Linked DNA regions of Callithrix jacchus. The protein of the gene in region 3 interacts with the protein of the main gene of each other region in a biochemical or structural test. Links are inferred from orthologs where the notes say so. Each region holds a gene or a part of one and is shown on either strand. Other genes may lie near its edges.

What was found.
Region 1: the proteins of FGF9 (region 3) and FGFR1 interact in a biophysical measurement, tested with the Homo sapiens proteins (2 studies listed by BioGRID and IntAct, with this or other methods). The link is inferred for Callithrix jacchus from reciprocal best matches to the Homo sapiens genes FGF9 and FGFR1.
Region 2: the proteins of FGF9 (region 3) and FGFR3 form a complex in vitro, tested with the Homo sapiens proteins (3 studies listed by BioGRID and IntAct, with this or other methods). The link is inferred for Callithrix jacchus from reciprocal best matches to the Homo sapiens genes FGF9 and FGFR3.

Annotation. Positions count from the first base shown.
Region 1 is NC_133514.1:39,299,232-39,303,572, forward strand, and holds the start of FGFR1 (fibroblast growth factor receptor 1), read right to left. Parts: upstream 2,836-4,341; 5' UTR 2,176-2,835; exon of another isoform or gene 1,861-2,175; intron 1,584-1,860; exon of another isoform or gene 1,423-1,583; intron 1-1,422. UniProt on the Homo sapiens protein: Tyrosine-protein kinase that acts as a cell-surface receptor for fibroblast growth factors and plays an essential role in the regulation of embryonic development, cell proliferation, differentiation and migration.
Region 2 is NC_133504.1:191,344,282-191,347,319, forward strand, and holds the end of FGFR3 (fibroblast growth factor receptor 3), read right to left. Parts: coding exon 3,016-3,038; intron 2,805-3,015; coding exon 2,667-2,804; intron 2,546-2,666; coding exon 2,440-2,545; intron 2,268-2,439; coding exon 2,121-2,267; 3' UTR 582-2,120; downstream 1-581.
Region 3 is NC_133506.1:141,189,990-141,194,143, reverse strand, and holds the start of FGF9 (fibroblast growth factor 9), read right to left. Parts: upstream 2,848-4,154; 5' UTR 2,018-2,847; coding exon 1,741-2,017; intron 1-1,740.

The DNA.
Region 1 (4,341 bases), on a different chromosome or scaffold from region 3:
CTGCTCAACAGTCTCAAGGCTAAGGTTTTCCCATTTAGGTGGTATTCCAAAAAAAGCGCTGGTCCGGAGGTGCAAAGGGCAGGGCACATCTGCGGAGGAAACAGTCACCTTAATTACCACGTCTAGAGAAAGTGCGATTTCATTACAGCCTCCAAAACTACCGCCCAAAGAAGGAAACCAGAGAAGTGTTTTCAATTTGAAAGAGACTGGAAAGAAGCGGGTGAGAGACCGACTCTCCCGACTCTCCCCACCCTCCTGCAACTTTGGACCACAAGGTGCTTTCCTGCCTCAAAGACTATGACCAAACACAACTTGACAATCCAACCCCCGCTTTCAAACCTGTGGCCGTTATTTAAACGGTAAAATGTCCCACTTAGCTTCCGGGGATGTGGCCCAAATCAATCCTTAAAAACACAGAGAGCACCTCTGGCAACAGCCGCCCACGCCCCCCGGCCCTGCGCACCGGGCTCGCTCCGGGAGGGGAAGAAGGGGCGCGTGACGCCACCGCGGGGCGGCCGAGAGGGGACCGCGGGCTCCGGGCGGGGCAGGCGCTCCTGCAACTCCAACTGTAACTCAAGGGAAAGAAAGCAATGCTTTGGTTCCAGAAACTTCCATCGTCAAGGCCACTTCTGGCCAGACGCACGGCCAAAGAGCCCCCCTAGTCTAGCGGATGAACCGTTCGCAAGTGCTATCCCCTAAAACCTTGGCCCCATCTCCCAAGATGCCTCTTTTCTGCGCAATCCAGAAAGCACCCCGACCGCCGTCACCCACCAGCGGCGGCGAATAACTTGGTGGGAACTTAAATAACTCGGGATTCAAGGGAACTTTCTTTTCTCCCCTGAATCTCAATGCCGCATCTCCAAGTCTCCAGAAATGATGAGGAGAGAGGTGGTCAAGGCGAGTTGAAGAATCCGAGTTTTAATTTGGGGGAGGGGGAGGGGAGGAAGAGGTAAGTTAATAATGCGGCTGCGGTGTACCCGTGTGGGGTGAAACGGAACCAGATGCGGCCGCCACATCTGGAAAATGGGGATGGGGGAGGGCTAGGGGAGAACCGCACCGTGGAAATGTTCTTCAAACGGGCTGATAGCTTCTGGGCCCAGAACAAGAAACAGGCTTCACCCTCCCTCCCCCACCACCACCACACAAAGTGTCTGGCTGCCTCACAGGGGGTGTTCTATATGAACCCCATCTACAACGTCCACAAATTTCTCTGCCGACGTGGGTCGTAGCCTCCCTTTCTACCAACACCAAACATAACGGGAGGGGACGCGGAGCGCAGAGGGGTCTGGGCTAGACAAGCACACGCATCGCAGCCGAGTGAACCGCACCGGACAAAACCCACATCCCTTCCTCCACCTCCAAGAACCAGATTGGGACGGAACAGCCCCGGCCCCAGCCCCAGCCCCTGCCCCCGCCCCATACCTCGGCTTAACGACCGCGGGTCGTCCTCCCGTTCCCCAAACTTCCGACCCTTTCTGAGACCGTCCAAGTAGATCACCCCTTCTGGAAAGGGGAGTCGTTTTTCGCTTTCAGCTCAAGCAGATTCAGCCATTTGGTGACGACACCTCCTTAAAACGTATTCCAAGAGAAGCTAACCTAGCTCTCCACGTCCTCCGCATTTCATCCCCCCGCCCACTCGCCCCCCACCCGGACCCCAGACTTTCCCGGGGGTGGAAAAGGACTTAGGAATGTCACGGATTTTTAGCGTTGAGCCCAAAGCTACCTGCTGAATTGGGGTGAATCCCCAAAAGGGGACTAAGAAGAGATGGAGCGGAATGCAACACACACACACACACACACACACACACACACACCGCCCCCCTCGCCGCCCACTCCAGCCCTGTCCCTCCCGGGACTCACCGAGTAGCCGCCGCCGCCGCCTCGTCAGCTCCCGAGCGCGAGTTGGCGGAAAAGTTGGGCGGCGGGAAGACCGGCGGGACGAGCGCAGGGAGGGGGCGCAGAAGGCGACGCGGGCGGAGGGAAGGGAGGGGAGACCCAAGGGGGGCGCGGATTGCCGGGGAGGGAGCCGGGAGGTGGAGGGGGCGGGCGGCGAGCGGAGGGAGGCGCCGGCCCCGGCTGGGCTGCGGCGGGCGAAGCGCGCAGCCGGAAGGCTCCGGCGCCTGGGGCTGCTCGGGACGCTAGTCCGCCCCGGATCGGGGGCGCCGCGGCTCTTACCTCGCTCGGCGTGGAGGTTCGGCCTCGGGAGAGTCTGCCGTGGCTTGTGCGAGAGGGCGTGTGCCCGCGTCCCCGGCGCCGGCCCGCCGCCCCCGGGCTCTGTTCGGGTGCTGGCGGGGTCGCGAAAGCCCCGCGGCCGGCGCTCGACTCCCGGCAGCGCTCGGTACTCGGCGCCTCCAGCCCGAGCGGGAACAATGGAGCCGGAGCTGGTGCCCCGGAGGCGGGGCGGGGGGAGGGCTCCCGTCCGCTGCCCGGGTCTCCAGACCCTGCGCCCCCCTTCTCCGGAACGCAGCGGAGGCGCCTCACGCTCCTTGCAGACCAGGATCCATCGCCCCGCGGAGGCTCTGGCGCCGCGGCGTGCCTGACTGCAGCACGGGTACCGTGCGTCCTGCGGGGCGCCCCGAGCTCGGAGCAGAGAAAAGTCCTCGGGCTCCGCGGCTTTTCCAGCAGCGGCGCGCTCGCGGCCGGGGAAGGCGAGGTCGCCGCAATGCGCTACGCGGACTCTCGGTCCGGTCCGGTCCGGACGTGGCCGCCTAGCTCCTGGCACTGCCCGGGTTCCTCCGCGCCCTGCGGCTGCACCGGCGTCCCGGCTCCCGCTGCCTGCCGCCCGCCGCCGAGGCCGCCGAGCCTGTGGCCGCAGGAGCGCTCCGAGCGCTGTGCGCCGGCGAGGCGCGAGGGCTCGCCCTCTCACTCCCACCAGCGCTGGTCCCTCCTCCGCCTCCGCCCTCTGCCGCTGCCTGCTGGGCCTTGTAGTTCCCGAGCCGCGGCCCCCGAGGAGGGGGAGCGGGCCAAGCTGTCCTCCGCTCGGCCCTTCCCTTCCCGCAGCCTGGTCTCCTCTGGCGCTCGCGCCGCTGCATCTGAGCACGTCCCAGAGGGCGCCGGGATTTCAGGCCCTAGACACAGCAGCCGCGTGGGGGGCCAGGTGAAGAGACGCTGCAGCCCTGAGGTTGTACCTGGTAGCGTGGCCTTTGGAGTCTGTGCGCCTTGGGGAAATGATTTTCGCGCTCTAATCTCGGTTTTGCCATCTGTAAAAGGGGAATAATAGTGCTTTTCGTATAGAGTTGAGGCGTCAACGAGGGCCTGGCGCATAGTTAACACTTAATAAATACAAGCTGATTTTATTCTTGAGAAGGTCAGCCCCTCCTCAAACCCTTCCTTTGGATCTCAGCTTTCCCCAGCCACATAATTTAGGTTTTGTGGTCCACCGGGAACTGGACTCTGTAAATTCTTCAGCGATGTTGTTGGCCTCCGGAAGTCTCCAGCCTGCAGTGAACGTCTAGGAAGCAAAGAGTAAGCAGTGGGAGTTGAGGGGAGAGGTGTGGTTGGTTTGGAAATTAATCACAGCCCACTCAGAACACCCTCCAATACTATGGAACCTGGGAAAGTGGCTAAAATGCTTCCCCCTGAGTCTTCCGTGGAATGGTATAATCTAGTGGTTCCCTAATCCAAATGGACACGGGTCCTGTAAAGAACTCTTGAAAAATACAAATTCATGGGCCTGCTCAGACATGAGGAATCGCGCTGTCCCAGGAAGGAGCCAAGAATCTATGTTTTTTCCAAGGCTCCGTGGGGCCTATGATGTGAGCCCAGGCTGAGGCCACTGTTAGGGTGGGAAGCAGGAAGCTCTAGGGCTGAAGGATTCCTCCATTCTGTCCATTTATGAAGTTTGATGCAGGACAAGTCATGCATCTGATAAAATCAAAACAGGGGTATCTGTTGCTACTCCTTCACAAGATGGTCATAAGAATCAAATACAATAATAGGCATCAGTGTGCCAAAAATATTACACAAATAAATGTCACTATGTAAGTTAGTGGCAGGGCCTGTTCCCTCACCATCACCCACCTCAACCCCCAAATTTGTAAGAGTTTGAATACTGAATGAGATCCCCCACGCAACTCCTCCCCCATCCCACCCACTGCTCCTCCCCACCCCACCCCTGTTAATTTAAGAAATGGGTCCTCACATTATTTTTCCTTTTTTTCCCCCTTCTTTTCTCTTTTTTATTTTTTCGGAGACAGTCTCATTCTGTCGCCAGGCTGGAGTGCAGTGGTGCGATCCCAGCTCACAGCAATCTTCCACTCCCTAGTTCAAGCGAGTCTCCTCCTCAGCTTCCTGAGTAGCTGGGATTATAGGCAAGTGCCACCATGCCCAGCTAATTTTTGT
Region 2 (3,038 bases), on a different chromosome or scaffold from region 3:
GGATACCAGAGGGAGGACAGCAGAGGGAGGAGAACGGCAGAGGGAGGAGGACGGCAGAGGGAGGACAGCAGAGGGAGGATAGCAGAGGGGAGGACACCAGAGGGAGGACGGCAGAGGGGAGAAGAGCACAGGAGCGACCCTGGCGGAGCCCAAGGCAGTGGGGCACGGGTCACCTGGCCTGGGAGGGTAGAGCTAACCTGGAGGAGGGCCCGCCTGTATAGCCCCCAGGGGCCCATGAGGGCTTTGCTTACTTTTGGTTCCATGTAGGCGGGGGGGGGTGGGGGGGGATACCCAGAAAGCTCCCCAGTTGACCGGGAAGGCAGATGCCAGGGGTAGGGTGAAGAGACAGGATCCCCCCCCACCACCTCAGGAATCCACGAGCTGGGAGCAGCCAGGGCGGTGCACCCCCCAGCACCCTGCTCCCTCTCACCAGGCCCCTCATACACAGTCCTCGTCCTAGGGGCTCCCAGACCACCAGTGACCTGCGGGGCTGTGCGGCGCAGCTGGGACCGCCCGGCGGCCAGTGACCCCTCCCTCCTCTGTCCCAGAACGACTGGATGAATAGAAAGCACACAGTCAGGTTAGGAACCAGACGTCTCTTTATTTTTTTGGAAAGTTCGTCGATGGGCTAACAAAATCACACCTGCCAGTTTGGGTGACACCTCTGGCCACCATGCACTGGGCCCCAGGAAGAGACCACCCTGAGCCACGGCCCTGCAGGCAAGCAAGGGACAGCCGCCCAGACTCAGCCCAGTAACTGAATTCACGGCTCCCCTCCAAGCTCTGAAGGGTAGCAGTCTGGGCTATAAAACTCCAGAAGCATTGCGTAAGAAGTGTTAAGTCTACATCTTGTAAAAACTCAATAAATTATATATATAGATATATATAAACTTGTAACATCTAATAACATCTGACCTGCACACAAGGCCGGCCCCTCCCTGGAAACCGCCTCCCGGCCTGGGACACGCAGCAATTAGAGGAGTTTGTGAGAAAATACCAGCTTGCTTTGAAGTCCAAAAACCAAATCTCCTAAAAAAAAAAATCCTATAGAAATCTAATTCTCCTGCAAAAGGAGGACAAAGGAAATAAAATATCCTCGCCAGCATCCCCTCCAACTATGAACCACCTCGAAGACTCAGAGGGGACCCCCCCCAGCCTGGGGCAGGCTGGACGCACAGTCTATAGGCGGGATAAACCTTCTCGGCTGTTAATAAGTTAAAAATTAAAACTCTCCACCCTGTGGCTGGCTAAATAAATGCTACAAGTGTTGGGGTATAGGAACAAGGTGCCGGGGCCATAAATAGCTTTACAAATGTACAGGTCCAGGTACAATTTTAAAACAAAACCAATGCCAGAAACGGCCCTGCTCCTCTGCTTGTATGTGAGACCCCTGAGGCCTCCGCCACGGCCCGGGGCCACGTCTGCCTCCTGCGACCCCAGGGCCTCGGGCCTCCGTTGTACCAGCCTTCTCTTCCATATATTTTATATATATATGTATGTATATATACCATATACACAGCATCTATTTATAGAAATGTACACTAGTTTCTGGAATAAACCTTTTAAATAAAAGGTAAAGGCTCCCACCTCCAGGTACCCGTAATTTCAGTCTCTGAGGGGCAGGGTGGGAATGAGGAAAGCCTGGATGTGGGGGGCAGTGCCACTAACACCCCCAGGCACAAGGTGCTCAACACGTGGGGCTTCCCTGCAGGCTCAGCTTTGGGAGTGGGAGGGCCGGAAGCCACCCTGTGATGCTCCACGATGCAAGAGCAGAGGCCAGGGTCACATCAGGCCCGGCTCCCTGCCCCACGGGGGTCCCACAGGCTGGGCCCACTTACATTCCACACTGGGTCACCCCAGGTCAAAGGCCCCCTGGTGCTGCGGCACCAGTCAGGAGGCCACTGCATAGCAGCGGGGACACCCAGGGGACCTCTGCACCCGGAGGCCACAAGACGCACAGGCGCGCACACACACATGCACTCGCGCGCGCACAAAGGCCAAAGCTCTGTGTGGCCGTCTGTCCCTCTGGACTGAGTCTCGTGCCAGGGAGTGGCTGTGCACCAGCAGCAGGGTGGGCTGCTAGGGACCCCCTCACATTGTTGGGGACCCACAGCGGCCCTTCACGTCCGCGGGCCCCCACTGCCAGGTGGGGCCGGGGGCAGCAGGTCGTGGGCGAACACGGAATCGTCCCCTGAGGAGCTGGAGCTGGGGGTGTCCTGGCCACCGGGAGAGTACTGCTCAAACGGCGCCGACAGGTCCAGGTACTCCTGCCGCGGAAGGCAGGGTGAGTGCTGTCCCACAAAGCCCCTCTTCCCACGGCCACCGCTGTGCCCAGGCTGTGCCCCAGAGGCCCGCCCCACACCTCAGCCTTCTGGGGTAGGATGGCCAGGGTGGGGCTGGGGGGTAGGGGAGTGGCACCAGCCCAGGGCCCGCACTCACGTCGGTGGATGTCACAGTAAGGAAGCGGTCCAGGTCCTCCACCAGCTGCTTGAAGGTGGGCCTCTGTGAGGGCGCAGCGTGCCAGCACTCCCTCATGATCATGTACCTGCAGGCAGGGTGCTCAGGCATGAGCCCCCACCTTACTCAGGAATAGCCTCAGGCTGCCAGTCCCCCCCCCAGCCCCCAACACGCCGGAGGACCCAGGGAGGACCAGCGGTGCTGCTCACAGGTCGTGCGTGCAGTTGGCGGGCTTGTCCATGCGGTGGCCCTCCTTCAGCAGCTTGAAGAGCTCCTCCACAGGGATGCCGGGGTACGGGGAGCCCCCCAGTGTGAAGATCTCCCAGAGCAGGACCCCAAAGGACCAGCTGCAGAGATACAAGGTCAGACTGTCCTGAAACCTCCCCAGGACAGACACCTGGGTGGGCACCAGGGGAATAGGCCAGGGCTGCGCTGCTGCCCCCGGAGGGGTAAGAGACCAGGCCCAAGAGCCCCAGGGCACAGGTATGGGCTGAAGCTGGGTCCCAGTTCTGCCCAGTTACCGCCTCCACCCGAGGCCGGGGTCCGCAGGACACATACACGTCACTCTGGTGGGTGTAGAC
Region 3 (4,154 bases):
AGCCGGAACACGAGCGCGTTTAGGACCGCGCGGAGCCGGCCGGGCCGCCACTAAGTGCGCCGCGGGGCCCGGGCGGCCAAGCGGGCACCTGCCGGCCGCGAGCGCGGGAGGGCTGGGGCTCCGGCCGCCTGGCACACCTAGGCCGACCGCCCACTCCGTTCGCCTCGACCGGCGCGGCTCCGACGCCCGCGAGTGGCCGACGCGGCCCCGGACACACTCACTCGCCCACCCAGGGCCGCCCACTGCCTGTTGTTCTGGTGTCGAACGCTAGGCACGGTGGCAGCCCTTAAAGAGGCCAGGTGGAAACGGCACTTTTAGTAAAAGTTTAGTCTTGCCTTTGCAACAACCAGAAGCTACCTTTACTAATGGGGTGGGGAGGGGATAGTTATATTTCAACTGAAATAATTGCAAAGCAAAGAGCTACAACTTTCTTTAAGCAGCGAGTGGAGACGCCCCAAGCAATTTCACACTACTAGGCTCAGCTGTGGGCTTAGGCTCCGGGGTGAGCACAAGGAGCAAATCCTGGGCCTCGTGGATCTGGGACTATCCCCCGCCCAGGCCTGAGTCCTCCTCACCTTCTGGCATCATCCGCAGCAGCACGAAGCTGAACATATAGTTTAGATTGTTTTCAACATCTGGCACTAAAGCGTGAGGAAGAAAAATCACCGCAGGACTTTGCTTTTTACGACCCAGTTTAAGTGTTGTCAGGTGGGTTCACTCAGAAGTTAACTCCTTCCAACAGTCTGGTTGCCCCAACTGGCGCTTAATTTTTTCTTTTTTAAGTAAGGAAAAAACTCGAGAGTCCACCCCATCGGGAGTGTGTTAGTTGACTTCGTGCTGTTGGGCTCAGGGTACCCCGGCAAGCACGTGTGTGCAGGCATAAAGTGGGCAGAGCCACCAGCCCTCCAGTCTGCAGCCCTCAGTGCTGAGTCACAAATACCCTCGCTGAAAATGAAATCCTCGGAATGCCCTTTAAAATTACCTCGCAACGTTTGCACGAGCGCACACACTCACACCAGAGAACCAAGCAAGAAACCCACACAGGGCTGCACGCTATGGAAATTTAAAAGCAGAGATTATCACTTGATAGCTGGGAAGAACAAACATCCCCAGCGAGCGTCCTGCCCCTTCCCAAGTCATTTTCCCAAAGCCTCTGCCCCCGGTTTTCACGGAGCCTAAAATATGACTTTAGTCCTCCCAACAGGACAATCCGTCAGCAACCTTTGTCTATAGGGCTTTCAGACCCTCACAAGGGGGAATAATCAATGCGCTTAATAAATAAACAATTCAAGCAGTATACTTATTACAGGAAAGGGGAAAAGTGAAAAACCTTAATTTGGGCACAAGATACCCACTGCCTTCAGGAAACTGTTAAGTTCTTAGTAGTTAATGATTAAAGCTTTAAACTCCTGCAATCGGTCCATTCAAAAGAAACTTCCTAAACCCGTGTATCTGATGCAAAAGAACTGGAAACTTGTATTATATTTATAAATTATGCCCCCCTTTAAATTAAAAGTAGGGGGCCTTTTGATGTATACTTGCATCAGTGCCAGCAGCAGATCTGCAATTCCGGAGGCATTTTTTTCTGAGCTGGCAAGACACAGAAAGAAAGAGAGATACCGAGAAAGAGGGGAGGAGGGGAGATCCCTTCCCACGTTCCCCACCCGGCCACCACCTTCTTGGTAGTTATAATTCCAACATGCCATCTCATGGACACTAAAGGGTTAATGGTATACCTACCGAATCGGCTGTGGTCTTTCCTGGTTCCCTGGATAGTACCATTGGGGAAGATTTCTAAGTGAAATCCAGTCCTGCAGTATAGCTGCCTCCGCCTGAGAATCCCCTTTAAATGATCCAAGTCCGTGACTGCGGGTCCCCTGGGGAGCCCCCCTGCGTCGGACTGACTCAGGTGGTCACTTAACAAAACCGGGCTCTCCACCGGCAACACGGGCACATTCCCAAACGGTACCGCATCCTGCACACCGAAATAGTTCCCAACTTCACCTAAGGGAGCCATCAGAGGACTCGGCTTTTGGAGCACAAGAATAAACGATAATGATGGTGTCAACCCAGGAGATATTAGGCGAGGTATATCCAACTCCCCTCCCTTACTGCAGTTGCAGAGAGAGAGGAAAAAAAAGGTTCTTTTCTTCAATCCATTAAATGCATAAATAAAAGTAATCTGCTGTTTCACTGGCACAGGTTCAAGGTCAAACCACTGATAGTCTAAGAAACCACCACTTTATACTCACACACTGACATATTGATAAACATATCTATGTATCGCTACAGATAGATCCCCAGCTCTTAGCAGGCAGGAAGGTCTTCATCCCATCCGACAGTAATAAGGGAAAAAAATCCGTAGTTTCTCCATTTGGTTTGAGATCAGAATGACCATAGCAACTTAAATGCCTAGGCGTTATTATAGGGATTTTTAAGATGCACGGGCTACGTCAGAATTTACGGATCCTGACTCCAGGAAGGCATGCGCTGTTTTTACTCTCTAACCGACTCTGCAGACATCAGCATGAATCCTTCAAGGGGAAAAAAAAATCTCACGTTGGTGGCGGCGACAAATCTCCCCTCCCGGTCCCCCCTTCAAAAAATGATAATAATAAAACAAAAAGAAACTTTAGGCGTCCAAAGCTAGTATCCAGGATTCTGCAGAGGCTCGGCAGATGTCCATTGGCTTAGAACGGGTGGCGAGCGGCGAGCGAGGAGAGCCGCGTCCGGGAGCTCGCGTGCCGCCCTGGCTGCCGCGAACAGGTGTTGCCGCGCCGGCTCGCGGAGCGTTGTAGCCGGGCGGAGCGCTCCTCCTGCGCAGCCCCCGCCGGCGCGCAGAGTGGCGCAGGCAGCGGCATTGGGCTGGGTTTAAGGTAGCGCCGCGGCCGCCCCGGCTCCCCGCGGTCCTAGCGCCCGGCCTGCTGCCCGCGCCACTCTGCGGCAGGCAAGGCGCGCCAGAGCGCAGGACTTCCTGGGGAGGCAGCCGAGGAGCCCTGGCTTTACAAAGAAAAGCAGATGAAAGATGCACTGCGAGAGGCGGGAGGAAGAAACCTTGAGTCTCCTGAGACTCGAAGTTCTGCGGAATGGAAGCCAATAACCTAAAATCTAGCTGGCTACACGGATGGAGGGTCAGAGTGAAACTGGGAAACTAGTTTTCACTTGGGCTCTGTAACCTTGCATTGCGTTATAGAATAAGACTGAGTGGAGAGAGTCGGAGGGAAGAGGAGTTGATTTAATGGGCTTGGATGGCCGTGGCAGTTTCTCTTCCATTCTTCTGCCACACACACACACACACACACACACACACACAGAAGCACAAACTGTGTTGCAGGTAAGACGCGGTTAGATCTGAACCCCACTTCCCCGTCACACACACACACACACACACACACACACACACACACGCAGATGAGGGCACCGTTTCGGTTTTGTTTGGAGCGTTCTGCTAGGCATCTTTGGGTCGGGGCTATGTTTAGGTCCCGCCCCGCAGCCCGGGTCCTGGCTGCAGCCAAACAGTCGGCAGGGGGGCGCCAGAGAACCTTCTCTGTCCCCGACTTCGACTAGGGCGCGCGCGTCTTCGGGGAGTCTGGGTCGAGGGGAGCGCCCCAGTGGACTTCCTCTCGCCCCCAAACCACGCTCCTTTGGAAGAGCGGCGACATCCCGAGCCCTACGTCGGCTCGGGGAAGCGAAGGGCGAGTTCTAGTGTCTCCCTCCAACCGCCCGAAGCCCGCGGTGGAGCCGGGAGGGCCGGACGCAGGATGTTCGCGGGGCGCCCCGGGGCCGCTGCCGCTCCTTCCTGCCCTCCGCGGCGGGGCCGCACGTGGAAGCCTGACCTCCGGTGCGCGGGCTCGGGTTTCTGCTCGCCGCCGGCGGCCTTCACGCCCAGCGGGAGTCTGGGACAAAGAAACCCGCCTCCGGGGGCCGTCCGGGGCCCTACTGGGCCGGGCCGGCCAGAGAAACTGGAGTCGGCGCGCTCTGCACCCGGGACAGCCTGCCCGCCACCGGATCCCCAGTGCCCGCGGGCGCGGAGCGCGGCGCCCCCGACACACACAGACGCTCGCCCGCAGCCCTCCCGCGGGGCCCTCCTTCCCTCCCCCTGCTCCTCTTTGTTCACATTGTCTTAGAAACGGCCCGACTCTCAGGTCAAGATG